Caenorhabditis elegans: one gene and its partners. The protein of the gene in region 1 interacts with the protein of each later gene in a pairwise test. Each region holds a gene or a part of one and is shown in the gene's direction. Other genes may lie near its edges. The genes, in order: npr-12, cat-4, phb-2 and ZC455.1.

Evidence for each region.
Region 2: the proteins of npr-12 (region 1) and cat-4 interact in a two-hybrid assay, tested with the Caenorhabditis elegans proteins (one large-scale study listed by BioGRID).
Region 3: the proteins of npr-12 (region 1) and phb-2 interact in a two-hybrid assay, tested with the Caenorhabditis elegans proteins (one large-scale study listed by BioGRID).
Region 4: the proteins of npr-12 (region 1) and ZC455.1 interact in a two-hybrid assay, tested with the Caenorhabditis elegans proteins (one large-scale study listed by BioGRID).

The regions. Positions count from the first base shown.
Region 1 is NC_003282.8:6,932,437-6,941,097, reverse strand, and holds the start of npr-12 (G-protein coupled receptors family 1 profile domain-containing protein), read left to right. Parts: upstream 1-3,449; coding exon 3,450-3,466; intron 3,467-6,037; exon of another isoform or gene 6,038-6,058; intron 6,059-8,661.
Region 2 is NC_003283.11:10,561,350-10,569,493, forward strand, and holds cat-4 (GTP cyclohydrolase 1), read left to right. Parts: upstream 1-3,530; 5' UTR 3,531-3,564; coding exon 3,565-3,727; intron 3,728-4,294; coding exon 4,295-4,390; intron 4,391-4,437; coding exon 4,438-4,635; intron 4,636-4,693; coding exon 4,694-4,908; 3' UTR 4,909-5,090; downstream 5,091-8,144. Other genes in the region: col-152 (Nematode cuticle collagen N-terminal domain-containing protein), read left to right, coding at 58-801; vps-54 (Vacuolar protein sorting-associated protein 54), read right to left, coding at 5,306-5,408, 5,455-5,860, 5,905-6,098, 6,152-7,746, 7,794-7,946. UniProt on the Caenorhabditis elegans protein: Involved in serotonin and dopamine biosynthesis that affects movement, mating behavior, foraging behavior, and cell migration.
Region 3 is NC_003280.10:6,249,604-6,257,435, forward strand, and holds phb-2 (Mitochondrial prohibitin complex protein 2), read left to right. Parts: upstream 1-1,807; 5' UTR 1,808-1,811; coding exon 1,812-1,938; intron 1,939-1,983; coding exon 1,984-2,120; intron 2,121-2,230; coding exon 2,231-2,440; intron 2,441-2,521; coding exon 2,522-2,932; 3' UTR 2,933-3,177; downstream 3,178-7,832. Other genes in the region: T24H7.2 (Hypoxia up-regulated protein 1), read left to right, coding at 1-567, 610-738, 793-1,014; dbd-5 (uncharacterized protein), read right to left, coding at 3,390-3,482, 3,524-3,799, 3,845-3,933, 4,009-4,114, 4,515-4,643, 4,775-4,855, 4,912-4,989, 5,061-5,123 and 2 more. UniProt on the Caenorhabditis elegans protein: PHB proteins are essential during embryonic development and are required for somatic and germline differentiation in the larval gonad. A deficiency in PHB proteins results in altered mitochondrial biogenesis in body wall muscle cells.
Region 4 is NC_003283.11:12,769,528-12,778,216, forward strand, and holds the start of ZC455.1 (LIM domain protein), read left to right. Parts: upstream 1-3,994; coding exon 3,995-4,053; intron 4,054-4,280; exon of another isoform or gene 4,281-4,282; coding exon 4,283-4,396; intron 4,397-4,469; exon of another isoform or gene 4,470-4,601; intron 4,602-5,843; exon of another isoform or gene 5,844-5,849; coding exon 5,850-5,976; intron 5,977-6,537; coding exon 6,538-6,704; intron 6,705-7,716; exon of another isoform or gene 7,717-7,845; intron 7,846-7,957; coding exon 7,958-8,009; intron 8,010-8,689. Other genes in the region: srt-43 (Serpentine Receptor, class T), read left to right, coding at 37-132, 270-523, 637-978, 1,253-1,318.

The DNA.
Region 1 (8,661 bases):
GAAGACTTGAAGACTTATTTCTTCTAAAAAATATCTTCATTTTTTATGAGTCCGTATGATTGGCGGTAAAGATATCAGGTAGCTTTTGAGCGTTTTGCACTCAAAAAGCACCGGCTTAAACAAATTTTTTGAAGATTAAAATTTCAGTTTTTCAGGATAATAAACCTTTTTTTTGCAACATGTTAAAACCAATGGAAAATTATATATTCCGGCTTTCAAATATTTTTGACATTCTGCAATTTTTGCAATTTTTGGCTACAGGCAAAAAATCACCGGTCTCGTCACAACACTTTAATACATTTTTGAGCAAAGTAACAACAAATCTCACACCGTTAGAAAATTGTTTTTGTTTTTTTTCTAAAAATTCATTCCTAAACCAATTTAACTCCAATGCAAGTTCAGCTGTTTTTTTTTTGAAAATTAAAAAAATTTTCTCGTTTTCTTGTATTTATCACATAAAACTCAATTATCTACATACTCATATCCATTATAAGCGTTAGATAATCTATTGTGGGTTGTTTTTCATATTCAATTTTTTTACTGTTTCAAAAGATTGGTAAAACATTTTGTGACTGAAGTTTTCAGTCTCAATTGGCTATATATGAAATCTAAAAATATGTTTTTATTGTTGTGGTATATTATATTTACTCATTCGTAATATTTGTTGTTTCATTTCAATTTATGGTCCCTTACCCTCCATCTCCTTTTAAATTTTCATTTATTTTAATCGAATAGGTTAGCTTAGTGAACCAATCGGAAACCACAGAAGATCACTGGTCGCATTTTTTCTGATCAACTGAAAGCTTATTTAAGTCTGCAAAAGATGAATGAAGGAGTGTGTGTCTGAAAATAAAATGATTCATTTTATTAATCCAGATGAAATTTGGAAAGTATACCAGATCTGATTTTCTTGAACTCATTTTTTTGAACTTTTGAATTATGTATACCGTATTTCCTCTATTAGTTAGGCACCTCTATTATAATAGTTTTGCACCGCCATTAGTTTTGCATCTAAAATCACTAATCGAAAATTAGTTTTGCACCCTCTATTAGTTTTGCACCTCTAATAGTTTTGCACCCTTTCATTTGTTCCCTATTTTTAGGAATTCAAAATTTGCATTATAAAACCGTTCTAAAAATTAGGAAAACTTTTACAGACTTGGTATAAAAAGTCAAAACTGGCAAAATATGAGTACAACTCGTACAATTTTTGCGTATCAGTCGTAAAATTCGTCAATTTTGGTTCATAAGTTGTTACTGTAATTGATGATATTATGCCATAACTTAATGGAAAACGTGAGAAAAAACCTGTTCGAAAATTAGTTTTGCACCCTCTATTAGTTTTGCATCAAATTAGGTGTCCGAAAATTAGTTTTGCATGCCTTACTAATAGAGGAAATACGGTATTCAATTATTTAGGCGTAAGTCAGCGCTAGTTGCACAAATACTTTGAAACACTTGTACTAGGTTAAATATCAAAATGAAAATTCAACAAAAAATCAAAAGTTGGAAAGATAAGTTCGTACCTAATTAAATTTCAACTAGCATTTCTTTCAAAAATTTGAAATTAAGGAATTTTTTTGATTTTTTCTAACCATGATGATCGGTCAACTTTCTCGCCTATCATATATCTAATTATACGGAATTTCGCTCACTTTTGTTTTTTGAACATGCTCATGAAAAAAAGAATATATAATTACATTCTAACCATTGAACAAAAAAAAACGCACTTAAAATGTTCGCGGTGATCATATTACAAATTTGTTCTTGATCAAGAATATCTCATTTTGTTTGAGAATCTACTGTGCAATTCCTGTTTATAACATTTTATTATTATTGTTAATTGAATTTAAAATCGTCCTCTATTTTTTTTCAATTTGAAAACACTAATTGCCAAGCCTGAAAATATAATTTAGTTTGGTTCCGAAGATGAACAGCTTATTATTTTCAAAGAACGCATGTTTGAGATTTAAGATTCAGAGTTGCCAAAATACTTTGAAATTCTATTCAAACTTCTTTTATTTACAAATTTGCAACGAATAACGGAGTGCTGAAATGAACCTCTTCTAGCCCATCGATAGTTTTGTATTCACTTTTAAAGCTGAGAAAATAAAAAAATGTACTGTTTCATCTTATTTTTATAAACACAAAAATATTTATCGAACAATGTTGATTTGATTTTGTGTCCTGAATCTCCTCAACTCATCAAAACCTCATAATTCGTATTTTCCCATTGGTCATCTAAATCCATTATTTTTTTCCAAAATCTCGTGTTCCGGCTTCACTTTTTTTCGATAGCTTTAGTGGAAAAGATTTTAACGACTGGTGCTCATTGCAAACGATGTGAACCCAGTAATTACATTAGAACCCATCGTCCGCCCACCAAAAAGCAATGAGACGTTACTCAATTTGTTCAGAAATGGACCTTCTTAGAAGTAATTCTTTGAATACTTCTTGCAATATTCTGCAAAAATAAACTTTCTGAAACTAGGTGAGAAATAAAAAATTTTCTTGATTTGTTGTGAGTTCTTAAGAATGCTAGAAATTACATAAAACTATAATTGTTTTGTTGGGAAAGTTTAAGATGCCTGACAGTTTTCTTGGAATTTTTTTTCTAAAACAATCAACTAATTTCCATCATTAAATATTTGAATTTCAAACTTTTTTCAATAAAAAAAGATTGAAACTTCTACAACTATTTTGATGTTTTTGATTGAATAAAGCTGGAGTACCGCCCGTGAGGATTCGTTTTAAAAATATTTATAATACTCCAAAATTACCAAATAATTACCTTTTTTTGTAATTTTCCAACATTATAATAGGACAACTGAGTTTCACCACTTTTTGGCTATAGTTTAAAGAATTTAAATAATTCTCTAATTTTAAAACTATGATATTCGAACGTTTCAGGACAAAAAAAATAAAGGAAAATATTGAACCCTTTTTCTTGCTAACTCACCTGGCAGTGACTATTTCCAGCAAAGAAAAAACATCTTTAAAAGTCGTATTACTTGTAAAAACAAATGTGCCGAAAGGTGTATTTATTATGCAACGACATTTTCCTTCTTCCTCTAGTATATATCCACGATTCTTTCCTCATTCCACTACTATATTCATTCCGGAGCTGTTTCCACGAGTCTCTTGACATTTTTTTTCACATTCATTGTCTACTTAATTCTTTTACGACTTTTGCGCTGTTCTATGTTTTTTTGGAACACGTTATTGAATTTGGCAGAAAAAATTAGTCACCTTTTAAGCGGCTTGATATGTTGTTACAAAAAACTTTCAATCACATTTTTCAATCTGTACACTTTTTGTACTCCCTTATCTCTATACTACTTGTATTTACCACTCTTTAAAAACTGATCTTAATTGTTTTTACAGGTAAACACCATCTGGAATCTTTCTAAAAAGAATCTGTAGGCCGATTTTATAGCAACATCACTATAATGACAGTTCACAAAACGTAAGTTGTTTTTAAATGTTTCTGACAGAAAGTTTCAGACAGTAGCATAAACTAAAATAAAACTGTTTCAAATTGTGTACAAATCAAAGGAACGTTGCAGAACAACGATGCTGTTTTTGTTTCAACTTTAAGACGTAACTTTAGATACATGAACATTTAGTGGTCTTCTTCTTTTTTGGTCAAAAAGTGTTCTTTACTTCCTTTCCTGCAAATTGCAAAAAAGAATCGAAAACACAAAAACCAGAATGGTCCTCCACAATTTTGAATAATATATGGCTCACGAACCCTGTCATCCCAGGAATATTTTCATGGTTTCATGGAATTGTTCGTATTTTTCTTGATGATGTGGGTACCAATTCTTCTTAAAAACGTTCAAGTGGGCCATGCTTCATTAATATTTTTGTATTTAAGCTTTCTAAGAAACATCTTCCAAATGTTATCTTGATTTTTTACAAACACCGACATTCGATTTTCAATACATTTTTCTGATCATTTATGCAAATCTGATTTGTTTTTTCCTTTTCTTTTCCTTATTTCAACATTTTTATCATGCCTACTTCATCTTTTTCCCATTCCCATTGCACAAGATTTTCCTCACTATGTTTCTTCAATAGCTTTTCATTATTCCGTGCTTCAACAAAAAATTTATGCGAATTTTAAAATTGAATTCGTACAAACAGGATGTTGGCATCTAGACGAAATGTCGACTGACATTCACAAATGGTTTGACATTTTTGAAATTAATTTTTGTACAGAAAAGTAATTTCCAAAGAATCTAGGATACGGTTGGCATATCGAAATTCCAGTTCCTTATGGGTTTTTTTTCGTAGAAATTTCGAGCGTATAAATACCAGATTTTTCGAAGGCTTTGAGATTTTAGTTTTCATCATCTTGCTGTCAAACTGTACCTAATCGTTTGAATTTAAAGTTGAAAGCTTGATTGAAACCTGTAAATTTTTACTGTACCGAGATCAGAGTGATAACTTTGCGATAACATCACACAGTTGTACCATCAAGCGGACAATATTTCGCCAATTTGGAAATCTCGCAATCAATAGATATTTGATTGGGACCAGATCATTTAGTTAGTTTATTCTTAGGTATTTGAAGCTCAACTTATTCACAAAATGTTTTGCTAAATTTCCAAGAGTCCACCTACAATTTAATAGTCTTATTTGGCATTTCCGTATGCCCACCCACCTCCATTTACTTACTCTATTCTTGTCCATTTCCTGTGTATTCTATGTTTTGAAACACACTCAAATTCACCTTACCCATTCAATTTTACAAATTCCTAACCTCGAAGGAGGTACTTCATTGAGAAGAGCTAATCGACTCCTATTCTTCGTTTCTTCTTCTTTTTTTACATTTTGTTTCAAAAGAGTGCTGTGACGATAAGAATTTATTTTATATCAGGTCATCATTTTCTGTGAGCAAACTAGATATTTTAAGTGAAAAATTATAGTTTAAAAAAAAAATTAGTAACATTTTCAGACGTATACGTACTACTTGACTGTCTCATGATTGCCTACTGAATGTTTCCTCATATGTTAGCGTGGGCTCCAGCTTTTGATTTTTGTGCCTTACGCATTTTTGTAATCTCAGTTCATGCAACACATTTTCAAGAAGTTTGACAAATAGGCATTTTTGGTCGCGGAAGAGTTAAATAATATCACTCTAGAAATGTAGCTTTTATATTCCCAATTGGCGTCAATAAATTATTCATTTTTCATAATTTCTGATTATTATTCAAATGTTTTTAAGTACCAGGGTGTACCAAGCATCTCTAATTAGTTACCATGACAAATTGATCCCCATAGTTTGAAGCTTATACCAATAGTATTAATCTTCTCAATTTTTGAAGACTCTTTTAATATTTAATTCATTTCTCTTCGCCTCTTCCTACATTTTCTATTTTTATTCTTGACTTCCTGCTCTTCGCGGACCTTTTGAGAGCATTTTGTCGTAAAATTAAATAAAAATTGAAGGGGGAATGAGCAGGAAGAGAAATTGCAATTTGCTCTTCACCTTTGAGTATAAAAAAGAAAGAAAAAAAGAGCACACAATAAAATATATTTCAATTTCAATTTACCTTCCAATCAATTCTTATCTGGATTTCATTGTTCTTTTTTGGTTTTTAGTCTCTTCATCAAACCCCGCTGGGATTTTTTAGGGTAATGGAGTCTGAAAAAGAGGAATTGAATAAAAGAAGCAACGAAAGATTTAGAATCATAGATTACGAATCAAATGGAACACGAGATTTCTTGCTGAAGTTAGCAAATAACAACCACTAATCGTCAATTTTTGTCACTTTTACAAAGAATTTTTTGGAAGATTTTTGGAATGATGCTTATCAAGAGCATCATCCTAATTGTAGACCTTCACATTAGAAAAATCAAAGTTAATGCGCAAGTTCATCTCAAGCGAACAGTAATCACAAACTCCAAGAGCCCCGTTTTTGGTCAATTGTTTTTTATTTGATCTGTGCCAAGAATATATTAATTTTTCTTTTTTTTTCAATTTTAATCATGTATTTCATTATAATTTCTCATAACAAATTCGTGGGGGTATGAAGCCCTAATTTGTTCCTCATCTTGAAGCATCATCCACCTCCATTTTAATGTGTTTTTTGGAACAGCTTATTTTTTATTCGGCACATAAAAATATTTTTTAGGAGGCTTGTACAGAAATTTAAAAAAATTCTAATTTTTAGGATTAAGCATTAAGTTTATCTTCTTATCCTGTTACATTTATCATAAACTTCGCCGAGTGTCACAATTTTTTTTGTGAAGTATATTTTTGTCGGATAAAAATTTCTCAAAAGCAAATTATTTGCTCTAATATATTTTTAATATACTTCCCATTGTATGATTCTAGTTTCAAGCTCATCTACTAGTCATCCGACACTTGTTTTTCAACAAGAAAAAAAACAACAAAAAAATTGGAGAAACCTTGGACCCATCGTCTCCGTTTCCCCCGACGTCGCTACTTTTCTATTCTTGTCTATCTATAAATCTATGAGTCAGAAGAAAAGATACAAGATCATTTTGTTTCCGGCATTCAATTCTTTTTTGGAATCAATTAAATTGAATAAAATTAGATTTGAGGTTCCTTGGACGCGAATTTAATTCGGGATCTGGCTCGTGTGTATCACGAATTTCTTGTCTCGGAAAAAAGTTTAAAGACGTCATTTAAGTTGAGAAAGGATAAAAAAGCTTAAAGAACACGTATTCGTATCAATTTCTAATTTTCTGACCTTTCAATGAGATGTTCTAAAAGTCTATAGGAAGAAGCCTTCAATTAAAAATTCAATGAAAATATTTTCAAAAATAGTGAAAATCTGTTGTGAATAATAAAACAATATAAGGAAATAGAAGAAAATCTGTTTTTATTTTTTATTTTCTTAATCTAGAATTATTTCCGTTTATTCAGATATTTATTTAATGGTTTTCAATAAATGATTCAAAACACAAAAATTCAGGAAAAAATATTACTGTTTCAAAAACTGAATTTACTCACGCGCATAATAAACCTTTGAACTTCGTAGCACTCAAGTTCAAATTTCATGATCCTGACGTATTCAACATTTACAACTTTCTTGCTTGTGACTATTTCTTCATTAAAATTTCATTCACTTTCTCTCTCTTCCTTTTTCTTACTTTTTTTCATTTTTCCTCCCCTTCCATCCTATCTCCGCGTTCTTTTTTCCCAATTCTAATTGATTCAGAACCGACCAGATCAACATTGAAGCGTGAAATTGAAATGACTGCCTAAAAGGTTCCAGAAACTCTGGTGAATGGAGTCTCTTGTTTTGTTGTTTTTTTTTTGTTTTGACAAAATTTTTGGTTTTTCTGTGTGTGGGGGGCTTCCAAGAAGAAGAAGAATAACCTAACCATTCCAATTCTCAGCAAACCAAATTATGTTTTTTGATTTGAAAATTTAGTGTCCAATTTTAAATTCTATCCATATACGTTTGAATTTTAGATTGCTTTCACTTAGCACTTTAGTTTTCTTTTCCTAATGTGATTTTCGAATTTCAATTTTAAACTGTTATGCATGACTTCATCCAAAACCACTCAGATTTTGGAACTTTTGAAGCTGACCTCCATTCAAATTTATTTATATACATAACATTTAAAGGGGGGCACTGCCAATGAACATTTATTTGGATATCTCGGAAAAATCTAGAAAATTACAAAAAAAACATCCAAATTGTTGCTAATCTCGCAGTTTGGGTGTCTTTCAAAAAACTTTAGACCAATCAGCGCAAAACTCCACCCACTCCCGTTTTTTGGTCAAGAAGTGGGAGGATAGAAATGCTGATTGGTCGCATTTTGGAGGAAATTCAAAAATTTAGAATAACAAGAATCATCCGAGTCGAGATTCATTTCGGACTTTTCCGGGCCTTTTAAATATCCGGATTGACGCTACTCCAATTTGAAGATTTCCGACATTGCATTGAACGGACCTAGACGTTTTTTTTTTAAATTTTTTTTTTTGGACAACCAATTAGCATTTTATGTCTTATGAATGTCTAATGTAGCTTTAGTGTCAACTATCATTTTCTGGAAAGAGTGTGAAAATTTGAAGTGTTTTTTATTGCTTTCACTGTGACGTGGGAAAATTTACGTTAACGAGATATTAGAATTCAAAGATCTTTTGTTTATGTCAGTTTGATTTTGATGACAATCTAGGATCTATAGGTATACAACTCTCTGCGTGACTGTTTTTAAAGTGATCCTGCCAACTCTCAAAGTACACGAAAAACAAGTTATCTCGAATTACGAACTTTTAGTTCAAAAATACAAAAAACCAAAAAAATAATGTATTATTTGAAACCATAAATTCAAGCGGATTATGTTCAAAATCTTCCTTTTTACATCCTAGCACTTTCGACGCAATTTAATATTCAATGCATACACGGAAACGGGTCTTGAATTTTTGAACGGAAAATGTGAATTTGGTGGTTTCGCGCTGGATTTCTCAGTTTTAAAATCTATATTTCTCCGAAGCGGGGGAATTTTTTTTTGTTTTGTTTGTATGTTAGACCAGATTTTCGTCTGACCAGATCTTCTCAGATCCAGATTTTGAAGCAGGATTGCAAAAAGGAAATATTATTATAGAAATTGACAATATAATTTGAGAATACGAATTTCAAATTAACTCTCCGTTAACGTGAAACTTGTTATCTGAAA
Region 2 (8,144 bases), on another chromosome or scaffold:
TAGATATACATGTTTCGTGAAGAGCACAAAATTTATTTACTAAATGTATTATTGCAGTATTATTCAACCGACGCGTGGGAAATGATGTCAAATCAAATCAACAATTCACCTCCTTCACAACCAACATATTTTTCTCGTCTGGCACGTTCTACTGAACAGAAATGCAATTGTAGCCAAGCAAACAATTGTCCGGTGGGACCTCCTGGTCCACCAGGAGCTGCTGGAACAAATGGGGAGGACGGGAGCCCAGGAGTTGCAGGACAAAATGGAAATGAAGGAAAGTCAATAAATGCACAAATTGATACATATGCTACCCCATCGTGTACTCAATGCACACCAGGACCCCCAGGAGCGCCAGGGCCCGATGGAGTTTCTGGGCCAGTTGGAATTAATGGTCGACCAGGAGAGAATGGCGCCGATGGAAATCCAGGTGCTCCTGGAGAGGTTGGTGCACCAGGAGATCAAGGAGGTGCAGGAAACCAAGGGGCTGCTGGAAAACCCGGCTTGCCAGGAAAGAATGGACAGAGAGGATCTGGTCACCCTGGACCTACTGGACCAGTCGGTGAAACGGGAAACGCTGGTAACAATGGACACCCAGGAGTTGATGGAGAAAATGGAAAACCTGGAACTCGCGGAGAAGCCGGATTGCAGGGAAAAGAAGGTCAAACAGGTCCAATTGGACCAGCGGGACAAAAAGGAGAAAATGGAATGCCAGGCCTAGATGCTGGATATTGTCCATGCCCGGAGAGAACTTACGGAGTGGAACCAATGCCACCGGCACGTCAATACGAGGGAATATAAGTTTTATACATATATATATATATAAATTATGTTATTCTATTTTCTAGTTGGTTATTGGCTTGTTGGTTTTTATAATTGAATAAAAGTTAACAGCAAAAAAATTTGTAAAGGTTGCATGTTGCAGATGGAAATTGTAACATAAATTGACATAGTTGACCATTGTTTAAAGTAATATAAAGTTTATCGTTATTCTATAAGAAAAGAGAAGAAGATGGATACTTTCTGTTTATTTGTTTTCCTAATATATATGATTATTAATTTATGATGCTTTTAACGGGGTTTTTCTGAAATGCACCTCTTTTTATATCAACAGTCAAAATATTTTTGACATTTTGTTGAGTGTTTTGTATAATTGTACAAGATTCGTTGTTTATTTACATACATAATTGAAATACGAAAACCCACAATCTTAATTAATTTATGCTCAAAAAGGTGACCTTTCGTAACTAAATGCTAATGACCTTCAATTGAACAGAGGCGCTCGAAAATTAGTTCTGCATTCTAAAGTAGTACTGCAGTTTTTAAAAGTGATGCATTCAAAAAAAAAACCCAAAAATTAGTGCAGCACTAATAGAGAATATACGGTAAGCCTGTAGAGTTTGGTCTAATAAAGTCAAACTTGCGGTAATAAAAGTTTGAAGTGATTCTTATCAGGAAAATAAATAATTCCAAATCACATAATCCAGTTCATAATCTATTGACTCTTTCAACCGCGCCATTGAACATTCTAGTCTAAAAAATTGTGCAAGATGATGTTCACTAAATCATCACCAGTCAGAAAACCGTATTCCTTAGGACACTCTCTATGTTACTTGTTCTCTATGTTTCTGACGTAATCGCCGTCACTTAATTAATCCCGCAAACTCCTTTTGTGCACGATCTTATCTCAAAGGTGACAATTCAAAGTTCCTGAACCAATTTATCATGCAATGATTATAAACTCCATATAAATTGCGGCTTCAATTGGTAGTACATCATTAGCGGCGGCATTTTGCTTATGCTCTTATCTTATTTATAGTTCAACCTAATAAATTGCGGGGAACTTCCTCTACGAGTGTTACGGTATTATTTGGCAGTACTTTTCAGTAACAACTTTCGATTTTAATTTTTTACTTTTCAAGAATATTGACAATAGCTCAGTTTTTTCAAATAGTTCTTTTTGATTCTCAATCTCTAACTCTGAAGAACCAAAAGTTATGAGAGACTTCGAATAACCCAAAAAATCCTGATCATAACAAAATAGTATTTCAAGTTTTCTTGTTTTCATTCGTCATCACCTCCTCCCAACTTGTACCCAATCAGCCCAGAAATCGCAAATATAAGAAACGATATCTGATGAAAAAGAACTAGAAAACTAGGAAAACATTTACAAGTTCGAAACGCCTCTTCCCTCATCTTCAGCTGATTTTGGAACCGTTCTCGTCATTTCGTGTGAATGTCATCAAAACACATCGAGTCTGCCGGGAAAAAAAAGGCGTGGGTTTGATCTTTCTACTAGCTTTAACTGTTTCAACGAAATTCTTATGTAGGTAGTTAAGTAGAAGAATAGAAGAAAGTGAGTGTACTTCTTTAGACCCCTCAATTCTTTTCATTTTCTTTCTTTACTTTCTCATTTTTCCACCTGATGATGACTTAGAAAGGAAAGTAGTTAAAATTTTACAATTTTTGAAAACCGAAACTGTTGAATGAAATCGTTCCCAAATTTGAGGTCCTACTTTTTTGACATGGTGAAATATTAGAAATTGTATTTTATTTTTGTGGCTGTTGGCAGTATATATGAGAGTTTAACACGGTTTCTGTGTTGTACTAAACTCATTAGTAATTTTTTTGCCAGAATCTAGTTTATTTTTCAGATTGGTTGTTTCGATGAGTAATATTATTAGGTGTGATGAGTTTTAAAAATAGGAGGAGTATATTCTACCACATGTGATCCTATTATTGTTTTTAAATAACTTCCCAGGAGGACCATTTGATGAATTTCGTGAGAAATATATGTGAAGTTTGATAAATTCCAAATTTCGTTTTGAATATAAAGTTTCTCAATTTTTTCGATTGTAGTGCATGAAAGAGTAACTTGTAGATATTAATCTGCCAAAGTTTCGGCAACAAAACTGATAGTGAACTAGAAGTCCACGTGAGTGAAGGTCTATATCATTCCTCGCTGATTTACGATCCTTCTCTCTGTATCTCCTCAGACCAGTCCACTTTTTCTTTTCTTGTTGCGCCTATCCACCTAATCAATCGGTTTCATTTTCTTTTTACATGTTCCTTTTGTTTGCATAAATAAATTATTCTTCCTCCACATTTTCCTGAATACCTAGAAGTGCTGCCATGAAGGAATGGCGGAAAACGATTGATGTATGGGACGACGTCTTCCGTTTCTTTTTCGATTTTTTGCTATTTTCTTATTCTTTTTTTCTCATTTTTTCACATAAGTGGGAAAAGATGATGAAGTCTATCCATTCGACTAGATTGATTTCCTTCTGTCCCTTCATTTTGCCTATTTTTTCCCAGAATACCTTTCATAATACATGACGTGTTGTACCTTTTTTTTTCGTAATTTCTTCTTTCTTGCTTGGACATTGCACATATTCGGTTTCATCCGGCAATTATTTGAATGTCTATCCTTTCTTTTTGTCGCCTACGCTTTCTCAGCTTTCTTAAGATTTACCCACGGCTCATTTTCAATATCACCTTATTTCACTCACTTACTCAATCAATGTTTTCAGGCTTTACCCACTCTATCAACATCATAATATCAAAATGTCCAGAATTGAGAACGAAAGCGGATTTTTGTCATCTGACGCCGCAAGTGTTGGATCCGAAGACGATAAAGTTGAGATGAAGAAAAGAAACGGAACGATTCCAAAGGAAGATCATTTGAAATCAATGTGCAATGCCTATCAGAGCATCATTCAACATGTCGGTGAGTTCATGTGATTCTTTGGTTCGGAAAGTATTAGTCGATCAACAACAAATTTAAAATAAGCTGTTTAAGAATAGATTATAGAGTTCTGAAAACGTACTGTCAACTGTTTACGTCAGCAGAATTAGGAAAACTTTGGTTTCGATAAACATTTCAACACACTTTTTGATTCATTCTAGAGATTATAATGTTTTAGCATTTATTCATTATCAGTGACTCAAAGAATATTGATAAATATTTTCCCAAATATAAATTTGACCAAGATGTTTTGAAAGTCGATGATCTATAACTGATAGTTGTTATTGTCTGGAAGGAAGTTCAGTTCAATATATTCCACTCTCAAATCAAAAATCAAGATCGAAAATTGTTTTAATTTAAAGACTCATGACAAATTGTAATCTATTACATCACGCAATCAAGGTACCCTAGCACATCATCAGGAACTTGTGATTTCAATTGATATATCTATAACATAAATCAGAAAAAAATAGGTTGTGTCCGTTGATTATAAGGGAAAAAATGAAAACAAAATACATTTTCCCACGTTGACTGATTTTGGGAATTCAGGAGAAGACATCAATCGTCAGGGACTTCTGAAAACTCCAGAACGTGCTGCCAAAGCAATGATGGCATTCACAAAGGGATACGATGATCAACTTGATGGTCAGTTATAGCAATACAACGTTAAAGCTCAAAGTTTCATTTTTCAGAGCTCCTCAACGAGGCAGTATTCGACGAGGATCACGATGAGATGGTTATTGTGAAAGATATTGAAATGTTCTCCCTTTGTGAGCATCATTTAGTTCCATTTATGGGAAAAGTTCATATTGGATACATTCCAAACAAGAAGGTTCTTGGTCTGTCCAAGTTGGCAAGAATAGTCGAGATGTTCAGCAGAAGACTTCAAGGTAAATTGAGAAATTACATTTTTGATTGGAACCTAACCTAAACGTTCAAATATTTCAGTCCAAGAACGTCTTACAAAGCAAATTGCCACCGCAATGGTTCAAGCTGTACAACCATCCGGAGTTGCAGTTGTTATTGAAGCTAGTCACATGTGTATGGTAATGAGAGGAGTTCAAAAGATCAATGCTTCCACCACAACATCCTGCATGTTGGGAGTATTCCGTGACGATCCAAAGACTCGCGAAGAATTCCTTAATCTTATCAACAAACGCTAAAAATTCTAGTCATTTCCTTTTTTACTTGTTTTTTTGGGTTTTAACTGTTACTAACTTTTCATAACTTTCCATGTGAATCTACTAACATCTTATGCTTCAGCTTTTTAAATTCATACAACATGTTCATTGCCTGGATACTGTAATATGCTTTTATTGTACATGCAATAAATTACTAAATACCAGATAAATAAAAACAAAAACAATTAACTGGGAAATGAAAGTGATAAAGCTAGCCCAGAAGCACAAACTAAAAAATTAGGAATGAAGGACCAGTGAATTGGGGAAGTTTACAGAAGAAGCGTGAAATAAAAGCCACCGTAATTAGTCAAACAATCACAATCATACACAAGAAATAAACCAGATTGAAAATTAAATAAATATTTTACAAAGAAAAGTCCTATTCAAACATAATGTCATTAAGCGACTCGAGCTCCAAATTACGGCAACTTTCCATGTTTTTCACATTTTGTTGATAAAACATGTAATCTTTTGTGACATATCTGAAAATAGTACATTATAGTTGAAATTTCAGTAATTTATTCTTACCCGTATTTTAAAGGGTCATGAGGTGTGATACCCATTCCAGTGACGTGTTCTCGTAAGTTGGCTTTAAAGTTTTCGTGTACTTGACGGAACAACGCCTCGATCTGATCTCTTGGCATGATGCCAACCAGTCCATTGTGGAATTTCAGCATATGGCGACAAATTTGTTGAAATTCTGGCGATGGAATCACTCCTTTCACATCCCACATTCCAAGACAATTTGTTGTATAATGAGCTATTACACTTATTAATTTGGCAGCAATTTCGTTGACGTGATCGCGGTATTCACTTTCAACCTGCTTGAAGTACCGAAGCAGACTTTTTCGATTTTCAGGAAGAACTCTGTCCATCTCATCATGAACCATCGGAATGAAGCGGCATACTAACTCGAGTGATCGACCTGCGAGTGCTGGAAAAAAGAACACTTTTTACGGTAAAACTTTAGAGCAATACCTAAATTTCGAACAGATATAGTCTTTAATCCAACCAATTGTAGGGCACCTGCACCTAAAATCAATTGACAACACCGACTGTTAAATGTTTTCAGTAATTCCACAACTCGCGAATTCCAGTCTTGGGAAAATGATGGCATTTCAGATATGGCTTCACAGTAGTCAGAAAGGAGCTGGATCATTGTTATTGATGATCTGAAATTAAAATATTAATATTCGTAATCCTAAATCCAAAATTTGAAACAAACCCAACAACAACATAGTTCTCTTCATCAACAATTACACCTTGAATTTGATTTGAAGTAGATGTTGTTGAATCAATTGTCACAGCGCTTTCTGTTCTTTTGAATGATTTTTTTATTGGACCATCATCTATTCGCTTTGTGTTTCTTAATTGGCCCGTTTCCATCGCCATGTCGACAATGTTCTGATCCACAATCGAAACATCAGTCGCTTTCCAAAGTTCTGTGTCAAGCATATTTCCAATACGAATCTTTCGAGCTGCATGGAATTTTTCAATGTAATCCATAGAAAGCTTGTTAACAGATCTTCCAAGACCTCCAACTTTTTGATTCTGAGTGGAATACCATCCTTCCTTGTCACACTTGGATTGAAATTCTTTAACGAGTTTAATGCATTCAGATAGTTGGGTAGGTGTAGTAGCTTCTGTCACTGATGCATTTTTGGCCCGAGCAATGAGCAATCGTGAAATCCGTTGTTGCGCACATTGATGACCGAATTCTGCGATCAATGGGAGCACGTGTCGTAAAAAGGCTTCTGATCTGACTTCAATCGAAAGAAGAGTGGTAGCTGACGCGTTAGAGGATAAAGCCGAACCACCGACGGAGAATCCTCCTGAACTAGCTGATTTGGAAAAAGTTGTACCAACTTCATCGTCAGACTCAGATTCGTGAATATCTTTTGCTTCTTCGATTCTCTCAACTATAATATCTTCAGAGCCATGTCGATGTAGAGGATTTGCTCGTTCAACAGTTTCCAGTAGAATATCTTGTAGAGCTTCCAATCGTTTACAAAAGTAGAACTCTTCATCCATAACAGCTTTCACAGTTTTCAAAAAATCAGCATGTTTCATTCTTCGTACTGGCTCTCCCAACTGTGTCAAACTAGGATCAAAATCGTTCAAATCAACTCCATTATTTAGAATTTGATTTTTAATAACTTGTCGCATTACACTTTTGACTCCTTCAATAATTTCCTCTCTTAAAACTGCAATAAATGAGTACTTTCGCATTCTCATCAATCCAAGTAGGACAGCAGAAAGTTCTCCTTCGGCTTGAATCATCGTTCCAGCTTCTGGCTTCACACCGAGCTCTTTTTGTATTAATGATGCAAAATCTTCATTCATCATACGTCCAATTACTGTATAAAGCTCTCGAAGCTGTGATGCAAGATGTCGGAAACAAGTGACGCCGTTCAATTCCTTTGAGAGAACATCTAGACTCGTTTCAATGCATTCTATAGCCTTTGGGTAATCTCCTTGTGATAACATCATTTGAACTGTTGATTGGGCTTCTCGGAGACATGAAATATCATGAAGTTTTGCCAGCAGTTTCTTTTTTTGTTCGTATCTTTCATGAACTTCTACAATCTTTTTTGACTGGTCGCATACTAGTTCGTCGACTCTTTTCAAGTTTTTTCGAACAACCATCACACATTGCAACGCGTTGGCAAGTTGTTCCTGGAGGCCACTGTACGATCGGACGACTTGCCAAAAATCATCAGTTTTTGCAACTAATTTTCCAGCCAATCTTCCATCCACAACGTCATGCATCATTTCCAATCTGTTTTGAAGAGCTTCGTAGTCTCGAAATTCTCCAGGTTTCTGAAAATCTAATAGTTTTTTTGCACAATGCTTTCTAGAGCACTTACCCTGTTGGTAGCAATTTCTAAAGGTGTAGCTGGAATCACATTTCTACCTGATAAAGTTTGTTTCAATGCATCCAAATCATCATTGGCAGGAACTGTGAACACATCCGAAAAAGTAGAACTGTCGCCAAGTGTAAATCGGGGGTCGATGAATATCTGAAAAAAGTGCACATAAAAATTTGTAGTGAACACTCTTCCTAGCCACAATAAAATTTTCGAAATTTCATGATCACTTGGCGCTCCGGCCGTTCCATGAGCTCAATGAGCTTTGAGTCGTCGTTTAAAAAGAGCCGACAGCTGTCTCTTTCCACCCTCACTCTATGAAAAAAAACGGGACGGAAAAGATCACAAACA
Region 3 (7,832 bases), on another chromosome or scaffold:
ACATCTGAAGAAAGTCCAAAAACAAATGAAACTGAGAAAAATGCTTCTTCCGGTAATGCAACCGAAGTGAAAGAAAAGAAAAAGGAACTTCCATCAATTGTTCGCTTGCGCATTACCAACAAATATCCATCTGCATTCGTTCCAAATAAATATGATGTTCAAGAAGAAAAACGTAGAATGGAAGCATTTGCTGAAAAAGAACGACTTGCATCCGAGAGAGCTGCGGTGGAAAATGAATTGGAATCTTTCAATTTTGAATGTTCACAATATCTCGAAGAAACTGAGTTCACTGATTACATGGCTGATGAGGAGAAAACAAAATTGGAAGATTCTGTGAAAAGAATTCGTGCTTGGCTCGAAGACGATGTGACGAAAGATACACCAACGAAGGATTTCACAGATAATTTGCTCGAATTGAAGAATGTTGTACGGAGTGTGAAAAAGAGACAAGAACACGACAAGGCAGTTCCAGAGAAGTTGAAGAGCTTGGAGACTCTTCTGGAAACCACTTTCTCATTGACCACTTTGGGTAACAATGTTGACGAGGAGAAGGCACTATTCAAAAAGGTACAGAATATATCTAAATTCGTGTAGCAATATTTTTTTCAGGAAGACCGTGACGGTTTGAAATCTAAATTGGACAAACTGAAAATTTGGGTCACAGATGTTCGGAAACACCTAGATTTGAAGAAGAAAACAGATGATTTCAACTTCACTGGAAAAGATATTGACACCAAGGTACATTGAGATGAACTACAAACACGAATACTAATTAATCATTTTATTTTTCAGACCAAAAATCTGAACCGTGAAGTAGATCGATTCATGAAGAAAATGAAGAAGATCACAACATTGGACGATCTTGCCAAAGACGGAAAAATTGATATCGACACCATTGTAGAAGAAGCAGAGAAGAAAAAAGCCGAACAAGACAAGAAGAAGGAAAAGAAAAGCACGAAGAAAGCAAACGAGTCGAAAGTAGAAAACGAGTCAGAGATAAAGACCGAGCTTTAAATTTTTTGAAAATTATATTATCATTTGGAGCATTCTCTTCCAACGGGATATTTTTTACTCGTTTCTAAATACTTGTTCAATCTTTTTCTCATGTTTGCCAATGCTTTGGGATTTTAATTTATTAAAAGTTCGAATGTGATATGATGGTGATTACTCCCATGGTTGTATTTTTTTTTGTTTTCTTGTAGTCTTCTTTGATAAAAAAAATAAAAATATTTGTCTGTAAACGCTTGTAATTCAGTTATCGGCCGATATCGGTACTCTATGTCTACAACAAATTTTGCTGGCGAAACTACTGTTTTTGAATTACCGCGTACATTGTGTCTGCGCCTCTCTGCGTCTTGCATTGCCTCTTCAACGAACTAAAGGCGCATGGTATTTCCTGAGTAGGTCTCAGAGCGTCTGTTTCCCTGCGTATTTCTCTTCTTTCTCAAGTCGCTTTTTCTTTGTTTTTTATGCTCTGAAAATGATTTTTATCTAATGAATGTTGGTTATATTCGAGATATTTGTATTTTCCATGTTTACTTTTTATATGGTAGCAATGCGGCACAAAAACGGTTTCAATGCCGCATAATTCAAATTTCGTTTTTAAAATAAGTAAGATAATGATATCCAAATTGAATATTTTGATAATTCAAAGCCGAATTTCTTTTAAATTAAAAATTTACGCATATTGATATGCTCATTCTTATTGTTATCATGCTAATCAACTCATGAATTTAACCTTGTTCTCTTTTGAAACGATTTTTGCATCATATTTCTTTTGAGTCATCATAATGTGTCTATTTTGCAGCAAAATGGCGAAACAAGGGCAAGAAGCAATGAAGAAGGCTATTCAAAATGCTAGAGGAGCTGGAGTTGGTCTAGGACTCGTGGCTGCTGCCGGAGCCGCCGTTTACGGTGTCGCCCAGTCAATGTTCACTGGTAATTATTTATATTAAGTATAACGATCAAATTAATTGTTTTCAGTGGAAGCTGGACACCGAGCTATCATGTTCAACAGAATTGGAGGATTGTCGACGGATTTGTACAAGGAAGGACTTCACTTCAGAATCCCATGGTTCCAATATCCAATCATCTATGATATCCGTGCCAGACCAAACCAGGTACGTATACAATTTTCATAGTGGCGGTTTTGAAAATTTAAACACTTATTTTTAAAAGTATTCCTGCGAAAAAGTATTCATCTGATAATCAGTCATAATTCAAATTGTAGATTCGCTCTCCAACTGGATCGAAAGACTTGCAAATGGTCAACATTGGACTCCGTGTTCTCTCTCGACCAAATCCTGAACATCTCGTTCATATCTACAGAACTCTCGGACAAAACTGGGAAGAGCGTGTTCTTCCATCGATTTGCAATGAAGTTCTTAAAGGAGTTGTCGCCAAATTCAATGCTTCACAACTTATCACTCAACGCCAACAGGTAAATCAGCTATTTAAATTTTTAGAAAATTATGGGTTATGATCTGGCTGAGTTTCACCTCGTTTAAAATGGTTTTTATAGGTTTCTATGTTGGTTCGCAAAACATTGATCGAGCGGGCTCTTGACTTCAACATTATCCTCGATGATGTTTCCCTCACCGAGCTCGCTTTCTCTCCACAATACTCTGCAGCTGTGGAAGCTAAGCAAGTTGCCGCACAGGAAGCACAAAGAGCAACCTTCTATGTTGAACGTGCTAAGCAACAGAAGCAAGAGAAGATCGTTCAAGCTGAAGGAGAAGCTGAGTCTGCAAAACTTTTGGGAGAGGCCATGAAGAACGATCCAGGATTTTTGAAGCTTAGAAAAATCCGTGCTGCTCAAAAAATTGCTCGTATCGTGTCTGAGTCTGGAAACAAGACTTATCTCCCAACAGGAGGATTGATGTTGAATATTGCCGACACCGACTATTTGAATGTGACCGACAAAAGACGCTAATTAAGTCATTCCTGAATCTGATCTTACCCGCATTGATGAGTAATTGGAAACTGTAATCATGTTTTTTTAAAAATTTCCCGTTTAGCATTATCCCTCTCTTTTTGTTTAAAATAGTAGTTTAGTTTTTCTTTCAACCCATCAATTTGTTATTGTTTTGTTTCGAATAATTAATAGAAAAGAGAATCATCATGAATTTTCTTCATTCTTTTTAATAGTTTTCTATTTTCAATACATTTCACTTTTTCGCTAGGTATGTTACATTTAACGTTTTTGGTTACCAGAGTGACAATCAAGTCCAATTCAAATGAAACCAATCTGATAACCAAAAAATTGTACAACACCGGTTCAATTAGAAAAAAGATAAATTGGAAGGCGGAGTAATAATTTAACATGGCAAGGACTAGATTGAAGTGGGGGTTGGCATTTTGAAGAGAGCTCAGTTTCAATTGTATTAGTATTAAAGGGCAGCAAGTTGTCGTTCCAAATTCTCCTTGAAACATTGCTTGATATCGTTGAGGACAGACCAGCATGGAAGCATCGATACATCAGCCTTAAATAATTAATTAACAAAGATAATTTCATTATAATTACCTGGAATGTAATTCCCGGTTTCATGTTACAGAATCCAAGGCATTTCTTTCCAGCAGACGTTTTATCAACTTCTCGATCAATACAGCATGCAGTGTGATCATCATTATCAGCAGCACACTGCATCAGATCTAGACCGTGATGTTGTGGGCATGCATCAGTTCCAAGGAACATTCCAGTTAGAACTTTCTTCGAAAGAACATCAAAACTACAAATTCGTTCGCAAGAATTATGCACCTTACGTCCCTTGCAGCACTGGAGGAATTTTGCACTGGCAGTCTGAAAATTTAAAATTCAGATTTCAATTAAGAGGTGTAATCTTACTCTTGGCTTGGCAACTGGAGCAGTCACTGGAGCAGGTTGTTGTGCCAAATGGCTCTTTGGAGCAACTGGACGAGGAGCTGGTCGTGTTGCTGAAATTGAAATTAGAGTTGAAAAAAATTTACATGAAGTTTCATCTGTATGAGTTTTCACATCTAGATACTCACCTTGTTGTGGCTGTGGAACAGGTCTTCTAGTTTGCGGCCGAGCTGGAGCTGGACGTGTCAATTGCTGCTGTGGTTGTGGACGAACGACACGGGGTTGTTGGAATTGCTGTAAATTAGTTAGAGCTTTTATAAACTCTTATTATTACATAATGGCGCCAAAAATACGGTATCCGGTCTCGACACGACAAATTTTTAATTAAATGCAAATAGGTGTGCACCTTTAAGTAGTACTGTAACTTCAAGTTTTCATTGATGCGGAATTTTCATCCATTGTTTATAGTATTTTTTAAAATTTTATAGTATTTTTTTGATAAACAAAAATATTTTTGTCGAATTACGATATGAGTCTTGATATGAAAATTCCGCAGCAACGAAAGTTTGAAATTACAGTAATCTTTAAAGGCGCGCACCTTTTCGCATTCAAAAAATTCTTGCCGCGTCGAGACCGGGTATCGTAATTTTGACGCAAAATCGCAAAACTTTGCATCTAGAACAACTATTTTTACCTCATTTGGTCTGACAAATGTACGTTGTTGTGGTGGAGATACAACAGCGGCTGGTTGAGATGTTCGTGGAATATTGGCAGAACTTGAATGAACGCTTCCTCCTACTGATTGAACACGGGTCTTGGTAGACTAAAAATTGAAAAATCCGATGATTACTGTTATTATTATTTTAATTGAAAACTGTAACATTTGACATGATTAATATGGACGAGAACGACAAAAGGATAATAAAAATTAAGGAAATTAAAATAAAATAATACCTGTGGTCTTGTTCTTTGTGTATCCTCAAAATAAGATCGATGACCATCGACAATAATTTCATCGGGTTTGTAAGATGGATTCTGGAGAATGGTTACAATTGGTTAAAGAAATGAAATCACAAAACTAAAATAAGGACCTTTGGACGTGGAGGATCAATACTGTACAGAGATTTTAAAGTTGGAATGAATCTGGCTGGCGGCGGAGGGACACGGATCTGAAAATGATGAGGATCGACAAGGACAGTGAAGTGAGTGATATAGATGAAATATTGAAACATGCACGTACAAGTGGTGCCTGAGTCTGTGCTGGAGGTGCCGGAGGTGGTGGTGGTTGGGCGAGCAGAGTGATCTGCAACATAAGATAAATAAGGGAATCAGAGGAATCAACAAAGAACATTTGAAATAAACTTTTTTAACTTAATGAAAATCTGTGAATAAGGAGGGATAGTTGGTGTCGTATTTTTTGATTTCCAGGTTTTGAACTAATGGTTCGAACTTCTCAATCATATCCAAAACATCCTGTTTGGCAAAATAATAGTTTTAAACAAAATTAAATTAAAGTTTGGAGGAAACTTTTTTGACTTGGTGCATAAAATCAATTTTGTGCCATAATTACCTTTTCTTGGTTTTGAGTGAATGAATTTGGTTGCTCTCGGAACAATTTATTATCAAAATCGACTTGTTGAACACTTCTAGCAGTATTCACATGTTGGAATGCAACATCTGGTACTTGTGGAACTGGCTGAGGCTTCTGATGATATCTTGGGATATCGGCTGGTTGAACCATTACTGGATTCTGCTGAGATGGACCATATTGTTGTTGCTGATAAGCCTCTGGTGGTGGGGGTGGAGCTTGTGGGATAACAACAGTTTGTGAGTAGATTGGTGGTGGAGCTGGTTGTGGTTGCTGCTGATATTGAAGTGGTTGCTGTGGTTGCTGTTGTTGGTACTGTACAGGCTGCTGCTGTTGCTGTGGTTGGAAATATTGTGGTTGCTGAGGCTGTTGCTGAGCTTGGAATTGTGGTTGGTACTGTTGTTGAGCTAGGAATTGCTGATAATTTTGTTGTTGTTGCTGGAATTGTGGTTGCTGCTGGAACTGCTGTGGTTGTTGAAACTGTTGCTGTTGGAATTGCGGGAATCCGTTGAAATTATTAAATTGTTGATGTTGTTCTGGCCATTGATAGTATTGACAGTGAGCTGAAATTAAATTTTAAAAAACGTTTTTTTTAAGTTTCAAACTGAATATTTTCTTGACAATTATGATGGTAATGTTTTTGGGAAATATGCTACCGTATTTAACTATGAGTCTTGCACCATGTGGCAGCTATATCAGAATTTTTTAAATCTGTCAACTGACATAAATTCATTATCTGTTATTCTAGTTTCATTCTAGAAAGATTACGGATATTTTCAAGTCTAACGGAAAAAAAACTTTCAAGTTTGAGTGATGGGGTGCGGAACAGAAAGACAATATATAATTTTCAAATTTTGAAAATGGTAGTGGTACTAGAAATGCAATATATTCGTGTTTTCAGTGGATAACTGAAACTATGGGTTGAAACTAAACTTTCTACATTAACCTATAATAGAACTTAGAGCTCACCGTTGGCTGCCAATATGGCAACAGTTGCCACAAATCGGTAGATCATAATAATGGTAGATAGAGAGAAAATGGAAAGGTAAGAAGGTATAGACTAGCAAGACCGGATCTTAGTGGGCAGCCCAGCACTGCTAACTAAAGCCGAATGGGGCGTGGCCAAGACGTGGAGCGGGAGAAGCTGGTGAAGAAGATTTTGGAAGAGAGAAGGCGGAGGGAGAGGAACACTGGAAAAGGTCGACGGGCCTCTCTCTCTGTAACGGTGCGTGGGCAAAATGTGTAATTTCTAGTATAATCTAGGCGACACAGAGACTGGTGTGAAGCTGCTTTGAAAGACAAGGGGAAAGATGCCGTGATTGTTAATTAAGAATATACTAGGTGTTGTACATCTTTATGGTCACACTTGCCAAGAACACTACTAGTTGATTGTGGTTTGGGAGTTTCGTTTCAATTTTCTTAATTTCAATTGAATTACAATGATGAAGAGTTTGATGGTCATGACCTTCGCAATTGTTTTGTTTGAAATAGTTTGAATAAACGGAATACATAGATGAAGCGGTTATTCCGGTGAGACATCTTTCACTTTCAAGGCGCTAACCTTTTTGATTGGCAATTGCATATCCCATCACAAACAATTACATGCCTTCCTCTTTCATTTTCTCTCTCGAGTCATGACACCCTGACGACACAACGTGACGAAACGGCGCGACACCGCTAAACCCGTCTCCAGAAGATGAAGAAAAAGCTGAGAGGATATGAAGATGAAGCATTGCGCAATCGACGAGGGCACGACGCCACAGATGTTTTGGCCGCCCGCCGCCGCCGCCACAGGAAAGGAAAAGCCTTTTGAAAAAGGACGAAGCAAAAAAGAAAAGCAAAAGATAAATAAAAAAACGAGTTCCTTTAGTAGATAAATTGGATATATAGAATGGACCGACTGTGGCTGACATTGTCTTTTTAGATGAACATACAAGTCCACAACAATGGATCTTGTAATTTCTAGAAAAACTGAAAAGCTGCGTAGACTTTTCGGTATTGAATGAAAAATTAATAATTGGTCTGAAATCTCGACAATTCGCCGCAACTTCTCAATCAACTCTAGCAAACCTAGAAATCTATGCATAGCCTGAGGATTGAATATTTGGAGTTCCAGAAAAACAATCTCATACTATTTGGAAAAATGATCTGTAAAGATTTAAAAAAATAAAATCTAACAATACCGAATTCAGCAAAAAATGTACTGAAACAGTTTCTGATGGAAATTTCAGGGGCTCAGATTTGATTTCTTCGGAAAATTTCACTAAAGTTGATGGAAACATGAGGAAAACTAAGAGAATATCTGACTATATATGATCGGACTCATTATTCTAAATGTGTGTCACCTAATAAGAACATTTTATGATCGAGTATCCTAACTTCTTAAAGCCATTTTGAACTTTAGATGACGTAATAATAAATCTC
Region 4 (8,689 bases), on another chromosome or scaffold:
GGAAATTTAATCTGTATAGTAAAAATAGATTTACAGTAACCTGCTCAATCTTCAGTGGATGGTTGTTCATAAAAGGAGCTGTTTATTGTAACTATCCAACATTCATTTATCTTGCAGGTTGTCTGGGACTAAGTGAGTTGAATCAGGACTATTTTTCAATTTTGTCCTAGATACTTTTAAGACCAACTAGAGAAAGCCAGTGAAATACAATACAAAACTCATGAAATGAAAGAATTCAAAAATTCACGCTATCAATAATTCATTTCCAGGTGGATGGTGCATGGCGTGTGGATCAACACTTCTTCTTGTAATAAACCGTGTTTTTGACGTTCTCTGTCGTCCTGTGTCCGAATTTCTATTTGACGGAAAACGTGTATTCTTCTCCATTGCTCTGATCTACACATATGGAACTTTGGTTTCCATGTTTTCTCCATCTATCATATTCAATTCGGCCATAATGGCATGGATTGCAGATCCATTGACAATTGATCCAGAATACAAAACCGATGAGATTACCGACTGGGTAAGATATTTAAGATGATTATTTCCTTTTTTTTTACTTGCTGAATATCTCTTTCGAATAGATAATTCATTACAAGACTTGCAAATTCAAATAACTTCCTCTTTCCTATTTAGTACCGTAACCATGTCCAATCAACAAACAATTGGATCTTCTGCTCTGGCACGTGCACCCTCTACGCCATTTATTGCGTCCTCATCAACAAAATGCAAAGGGGACAGAAATCAAAAGCATCACGTCAAGTATTCATCCAATCAAGCATTATTTGTTCTTTCAACACATTCTCTGCAATGTCATATAATGCTTTGATGTTCACAGTTCCTGCTCCATGGGTGATTGCGATTGCAGAACTGTGTTGGTCAATTGTTCATGGATGTCCAGCTATCATCTATCTCACAATGAACAAAACCATTCGAACAGAGTTTTTGAAATTTCTCAAATTGAAGAAAACAAATAAGGTAAACAATGCAACTTCCTTTTCCAATATGAATACTTCAAAAAGTAACTTTTTATAGAATCAAGATACAACTCGTATTGGTAATTTATGCCCGTAGATATGAAATCAAAATTTCTTGTCATACTATAAAACCTTATTAATTTATATTTATCTATCCAAACGTTTTCATAATTGTGTAGTATCAAAAACTCAAGATATGTTTGCCTAAGCAACCTTGCTTTTTTGTGATTTGCAGAAATAGAGTTATGCTTTTAATAATATATGTATATTTCCAGAGAATCCATGATATCTCTTCAACTTCTAACATGCGGCATACTGGAATGCCTCCAACCACCAATTAACCTCCCCTTTCCAACAGATTCGTATTATATTTTATTATATTCCCATAGAAGTGTAAAACTTCTAAGCCTACCCAATCTCATAATCTTACTATCAATCGATCTCTCTGTGCAAATTGTAAATAAAGATCAAAATGTTTCACGTCTGCAGTTTGGTCTCCCAGCTTGCAGGATTTTCTCACAATTATTTGCTTCTCTGGTATTAAAAAAATATAAAAACTTATCGATAGGTTTACCAAATTCCTAAAGGAATTCATAAAATACACATTAAAAATATTTTGATATAACATGTAAAAAATTAAATTTTTATGTGCTGAATCGGCTGAAATTTAAAATTTTGTCAACTGGCGTTTTTCTGTTGGTTTTTATAGTTTCTGCAGATAAATAATCAAATTTTTATAATTAACTAGAACTGTAGTTATATCAACAAAGCATGTAAGATAAATTACCAATGCAAGAAGAAACAGTTTTTGAATAAAAATCAATTTTCAGACTCGGCTACACGGAAAAGTTGCAGAAATTCGGCGCTTTGGGTCAATTTTGTGTATAAGCAAAAAAGCAGAACCGTTAATCCCCTTGTAAAGAAACCATTTATCGCAAATATAACAGGATAAATCTAATCTAATAGTAAAATTTTCATATACTGGTCTAAATACACGAAACAGTTTGAAAATCTTTTCTCCGCAACCTGGTCTAACACGATAGTCATTGAAGTTTGAGAAAGCTGTGACGAGCAGTCAAGAGCCATGACATGCTGCGTCTCGCTCATTTCTACACAGTATTATCTTTGACGCCTTTACTCTACAGTACCTATATCCTGTCTGTGGTATGTTCAACATCTGTGTTGGTTTTTGAATACACGAGTAGTTGAAGTCGCGCGTTTTTGTGAAAAATAGTGGGAGAAATGTGTGAGACGCCGAGAGCTCTAGAGATGAAAAGTAAGGAGAACTTTACCACAATGATAACCAGAGAAACCGCGCAATTTCTCACTTAACTATCGATTACCTATTTTTTCATTTTTATTATCATTTAGTCACTCTAAAATTCTTGGAAAATTAGATTTTTGTTCCTCACTTTTATGGTAAAAAGGGATTTTGTTTTAAAACTCTTTTAATTCATATAATCCAATTTGACCAAATTTTCAACGCTCCATTTCAAAAAAATTCAAACTTTCAGTCAGTTTTGGAAAAGTACCAAGATTTTGAAAAATTGGACTTCTTTAGCAATTTTGAGAATCGCTGCTGGTTTGAGACTCTATAATGATCGATTAATTTAAAATTTTTGGTTGAGTTCCAAAATGATAGTTACCGTGAGAAATTTCCACTTTTTGACTGTAAATTTAAAAAAATTCAAAAGTTTTGTAATGTTTAGTAGTTAGATATTCACCACTTTTAATTTGAACACTATCATTTAGAAACTGTTGAGAAAATGTTTTTTTTAATTAGGGTATGGTCATAATTACAAAAACAGATCATTATATACTCAACCTTGTGACTCACTTTCTTTGGTACTTGAGTGTTGTTTACAACTTCAGTGAGACCAAAAACGAATCGTTTAGGGATAATGGGAAGATCATATAAGATGCATTAGCGACTGAGATATTTTGGAAATATTTCGCAAAAGTTTCTGTAGAATTAAAAGTTTACTAAAATAATGAAAATGGTTTTAACTGTGTAATTTTGAGCGTTCTTCCCAATCTAATTTTTACCTTTTTTTGACTTTATCACGTTTCTCAAAACAGTGGTATCTTCTTTCTTGGCCAATTTTCAATTTAACTCTGTGAATCTATCCAATATAACTTTTTCAACAGTTTAAAGAATTTATATATTTTAACACTGCCTGGTTTTCAAAGTTTATACTTAATATGTGTTAAACTGTGGCGATCAATAATTTTTGCTTTGATAATAAATTTTCTGCATGTTTCTTTTTGAAATATCTTCATATTTTAAACTATCTAAATTTAGGGATGCAGTTTTGATTATTGGCATTGGGAAAAGTTATTCAGGACAACTCCAGTCCTAGTGGAAATGTTTCTGAAGTAAAATCCTCACAAATGGCAGTTCATTAAAATGTTAAATATTCCGGCTTAGAATATGATCTGAAATTTCATTCAATAAAATTTGCCCTTTTCCCTCTGCTAAACATGCTCATTTTGTTCTGCCAACACATGAAAACGAGAGAATCACACTATTTACCCGACAGATTACCTTTCATGCTGGCCTTTCTCTCCGGTGCAAATCTGTGGCTAACTCTGACGCGGTTTTGTGTCCGTGCTCATAAACATGCCATGGACAAATGCTTGTTTCATTTATGGTTTTTGTGTTACTGTTTCTGCTGATTTTGATTTTGAACAATCATCTGCGACTCTTGCTCTTTTGCTCTGCCTTCTGTGCTCATGGCTCTTGATCTAATACCTCTAAGTTTTTTTGTTTCCGCGCGGAAAGGAGTCTCAAGTGCTCCAACCCAAGCTCTTTCACGTATTGATAATACATCATTCTCTCTCGTCCACTTCCAGTCATGCTTTCTCTTTTTCTTCTTTTTCTATTCTAGAATATTTTCTGTATTTATTGTCTCTAGACTCTAGTCAAAATAGGTCACAACAAACACAAAAGTACAAGAAGTTGAAGTACAAATACAAGAAATAAGTAGAAGAAGTGACAAGAAAACATCTAATCCACAATGTCATGTTCCCTGTTTGTGGCAGAAGTTCGTGGCTCAAGGAGATGCTCCGTTTGTAGGTAAGAAGATTAAGAAACTAATTGTACTAACACTAGAAGACAGAATACAATAAAGCATTTCAATAAGATTTGTAAACTTATATGTAGATTCGGAGGTTTTTTAGAAAGTAATATTAAATTCTAAATTGAAAATATTAAACAAATTCTCAAAAGCTCCATGTTACGAATTTTTGAATTTGAAAAAAAAACAATCGAATTATAGTAAGAGAATCACTTGAAAATATTTCAGATGCGATATATCTGCTCACGAGCCAGCGGCCATCTACGTGGCACCGGAACGAATATTTTCAAATCTCCCACCAATCGCCACGTCATTCAGCAACAATAATAGTAGTTTTAGCAGGTATGTTCAAGCAATGTATAGCCGTTAATTGAAAATGATAATCTTGTCTTTTTATCTCTATTTACCTGTCTCGTTTGCTCGAGAACTTTCTCCTATTTAATAATAAAGATCGAGAAATGGATATTTCGCAAAATCGAGAGACGCCGGAAATGAGAGAACGTTTGATTTGCCTTGGTTTGACGTGATATCCGATCCAATTGTGATACGGATTGCGCAGTCTAGTGCTCTTGCCAGATTCTCCACACATTATGACTTTATCATTTCCGCTTTTGTGTCCTCTATCAAGCATGACGTGAAGCAATTTGATTGCGGTTATGAGTAGAGCTTTTGAATTTTATTTTTTGTTCATTTTTTTCAAAGAAAGTTAAAAATCAAAAGAGTATTTTAAAATACATATACCTGGGTAACATTTTTTTTATAAAATTAATCGTTTTTAGAAAATTTGTATCTACAATAGTGTCAATTTTGGTCGTTCAGAAAATTTGATAAATCTTCTTTTTCGATGGATTTCCAAGCACTGCGAATTCTGAAAATTGATATAAAAACCGACTTAGAAACATTTGAACGAACACAAAATAACACAAGAAACCAAAAATTTAGTACGTTATTTTGTTTGAAATTTAGGATAAGCGCAATTTAATTTTATTTTCTTAGTTTTTTTTAAAGAAAAATATCAATAGTTTCGGGAATTTTCTTCAAAAAATTGTTGGATGTGGAAATTTGCCGAGACAAACTTAGTAATGAATAGAATAAGAATATGTAAGTTAAATATTTTTCGTTTTTTCCCAGAGAATTTTGGAAACTTATCAAATGAAACTTAGAAATCTGTAGAAAATATAGAAAACAAACAAAAAAAATTATTTGCAATTTCGACTGAAAATTCAGTAACCTGATTTGAAGAGCTTCAAAAGTTTACAGCACTATTCAAAAATAGCGTAAGCTGACATTTACTTTTATTTCTGTTTTAAGACAAAATCTCTGAGTTTCAAGTTTTTTTTCAAATTCCTCTTTGCATGGATATTATGTAGTTACTTATGTCAAGATTTTGACACATTTTCCATTCACTTCTAACATAAAATGCGCATCAAAAACCAGTACCTATTCCTTACAAGGAGACTTTTTTTCAAAAATAATATTGTTCTGTAGTTAGAAACGCAGAGAAATGCCTTTCCGAGACGAGAAGATCGTTCATTCTCTGTGTGGAAAGCTTTGTGTCAAGCATCCAGTTTTTTGTGAACTTTCTTCTATTCATTTGCTCCTCAGCGGCTTGCCTTTGCTCATTGCTTGTTCGGCTTCTTGTTGATTACTGTTATTTTTTTGTTTTCTTCTACTCGTATTCCTACCTTATATTCAACTCCTGTTGAAAGGGATTGTAGAAGAAACAGTTCAGATGTATTTTGTGAAAATGTGTGAATATGAAATTTGATATCTTTGAATTAATGTATTTGTTCAGGATGTCAAACACTCCTCGAAGTGCAACTACCACAATAATCAACAATAACAGTAATAACAGTGGTCTTCCAATGTCCGAGCATTCGGCATTTAGTCCATATGCCAGGCCATCTTCATTGACATCGCAGGTATATTTAACTAATTTAATTATTTAGTTAAAGTTGAAAACCATATTGTGTACCAGGTTTTAAACTGAAGTTAGTGCAAATTTTCAGACGAAAGATTTTTAAATTGATTCATAGTCTGGCAAATTTTTGTTTTGATTTTAAATAAATGAAAGTAATCTTTAATAATTTCCTAAATTATTTTTCTAATTATTTATTTATTTTTTAGGTTTATTATTTCGATATGATAACAAAAATTTTTTGAAGCCTCCGAAAGGCATACTGAAATTTTATAAATTGACTTAGATTCCTAAATTTGTCTAATTAAAATCGTAATTTTGATTCCAAAATAAATATACAAAATTTTTAGAAACGTAAGATTGTAAATCCCCATTAAATTTAAAAACACTTTTTTTTCGCAGAAATAGGTTTGTACACAGATCAGCTAAACAACTAAACAATAAATTCAAAGAATGTTCGGAACTTCTAAAGCTAACCTATTCTCTTATACACACCGACCAAAACCTCTTTAAAAGCCTCTTCAATTGATCTTTCGTGTCTTGATCATCAATAAAAACCGTTTAGGATTCAAAACAATATCATCAAACTCCTCACGTTGTTCTTCGACCAGAGCCCCGATTAGCACTGCCACCTCTTCTTCAGCGTCAAGAAGGATCTGACTCGAACATCTCGAAGAAGATACGCAGTAAACGAAGAGAACGTCCACGAAGTGTCGGTTTGCTTGATCTGGGGTGAGTCAAACTACGAAGAAAGATATTTCCGAGAGGATAAGCGTAAACGATGTGGAACACTGTGTTTTGTACGAATGACATTTTTTGAAAGATATACAGTGTAAAAGAGGAGAGATGAAAGAAACGGAGCAAGTACAGAAAACACGCGTATAAACAAAGACAAGCGTGGGATGCCGATGATCACTTGAATTGAGGGTGAATGTCAAGTGGTCCACAAATATAGAGGAAGAATGTTTTCAGATAATTGATACTTTCAGATATTCATAGATTTTAATTTTAGATCCCGCGCTAGAACATGTCTCGAGACCATATGATAATTCTTAAAATATGCATTCCACATAGGGCCCCCTACTTTGCGGAGACTTTTAAAGCGTAGGCTTAATTTAAAATCTATATTCGCGTCATCTGTTTTTCTAGAGCTTTTTTCGAGTTTCTCACTTTACACAGAAGGTTGTTGTGTGCCAGACTTCCAGTTCGAAAAATTTCAAAAAGTTAGTTAAAGGAGAAGTAGATTTAGACATTTTTTTAAACTAAAGTCACCAAACTTGACTACTTTTCCGTCTCACAGCAGCCAAAGTTTAATTTTTATTCAAAACTCACATATTTTGCTATACGAACAAGTTGGTAAAATTCAAAGTTTTAGCTTATTTTTTAGCTGCTTGTTTTTTTTTGTCAATTGGAACCACCTCAAAATATGTTCAGCACATTTTCAGAAAATCCCATTATTACATTTGCTCGTTTGGAGTCATATTGAGGCAGCAATAAAAAAAATTCTAGAACACTTACATAATTCGTCATAACTATGCAATGTCTCATGACCCACTTAAACATATTAATCTAACAAGTGTTTGAAAATAGTGAACTCGCTCTCCAAACTAGGCCAATTTTTTCAACAAACTCTAGATTCCAACATCATTTCATAGCTCGCCCAGACATTTTTCCATACACCCCCTCCTCTACCAATGTGTGCCTATTAGTTTGGTATGATAGTGAGAAATGCGTGGCGCTTTCTTGCGTGGTGGCGGCGGAGCAAACAGGGGCTGGAGCCCGTCGGTAGAGCACTTCTTCTCTTGCCGCCCGAGCAACCCGTGTAATAATCCCTCTCAGCTATTAGGCGGTTGTTCGTTTGAAATACGCGCCAAGACGATCACAGTTTCAAGTTTGCTTTCGTTTCCCACGCTTCAGTTTTTTTCAAATGAAATTTGTTTGGATATTTGAATTATATAAATTAAAAAAAAAACTTCTTTTTACAGAGTAGCCAGCTTAACATATCTTGAACCGGAGAGCAACGACCACGACGATAAAGTGAGTACTGTTATATGTTTGAGAATCTTCAGTAGATCAAATGTCCAATGCTTAGTAATAGAACACTTAAAGAACATCTCAAATAAAAAAAAAAGATTTTATTTGTATTTGGTACAAATGTTATATCTCTCTTTTTACTGTCGATACTACACTCAGAAATCATATTCAATCACGAGTGCCAGATAAGTAACCCCGAAGTTCAAAAATCTTTAATTTATACGTTTTTGAGCGGCAATGCAATATTTTTAAACTTGAAACTCACATAACCAGTTAACAAAGGGTTCGAAGTAAGTTAAAGGTTCAAGTTAACTTTTTCAATTGTTCAATTATTGTTGAATTTTTTAGTACGGTTTTGAGTTTCTTTTAATTAATCTTTTTCACAAATCACAAGTTGAATCACTTGACCATTATGAAGTACTTCATTTTATTATTGATATACTCTCAATTGTGATATCATAAAGTTCAGAACTTGATCTCAAATTTTCATTCATGTCAATTTCTCTCCAAATTTTTATTTTAATTTTTGGATTTTCAGTAAAGCATCTTCTCAATTTTTTACAGTAACCTGTAGTTCGAGGTGTTCGCGTGACGTATCTGATTTTTCCACAGGGCTTGTAATTGATAAAGTAAATTCTGGGATTAAAAATCGATGATGTGGTTTAATAATACTCGGTATAATA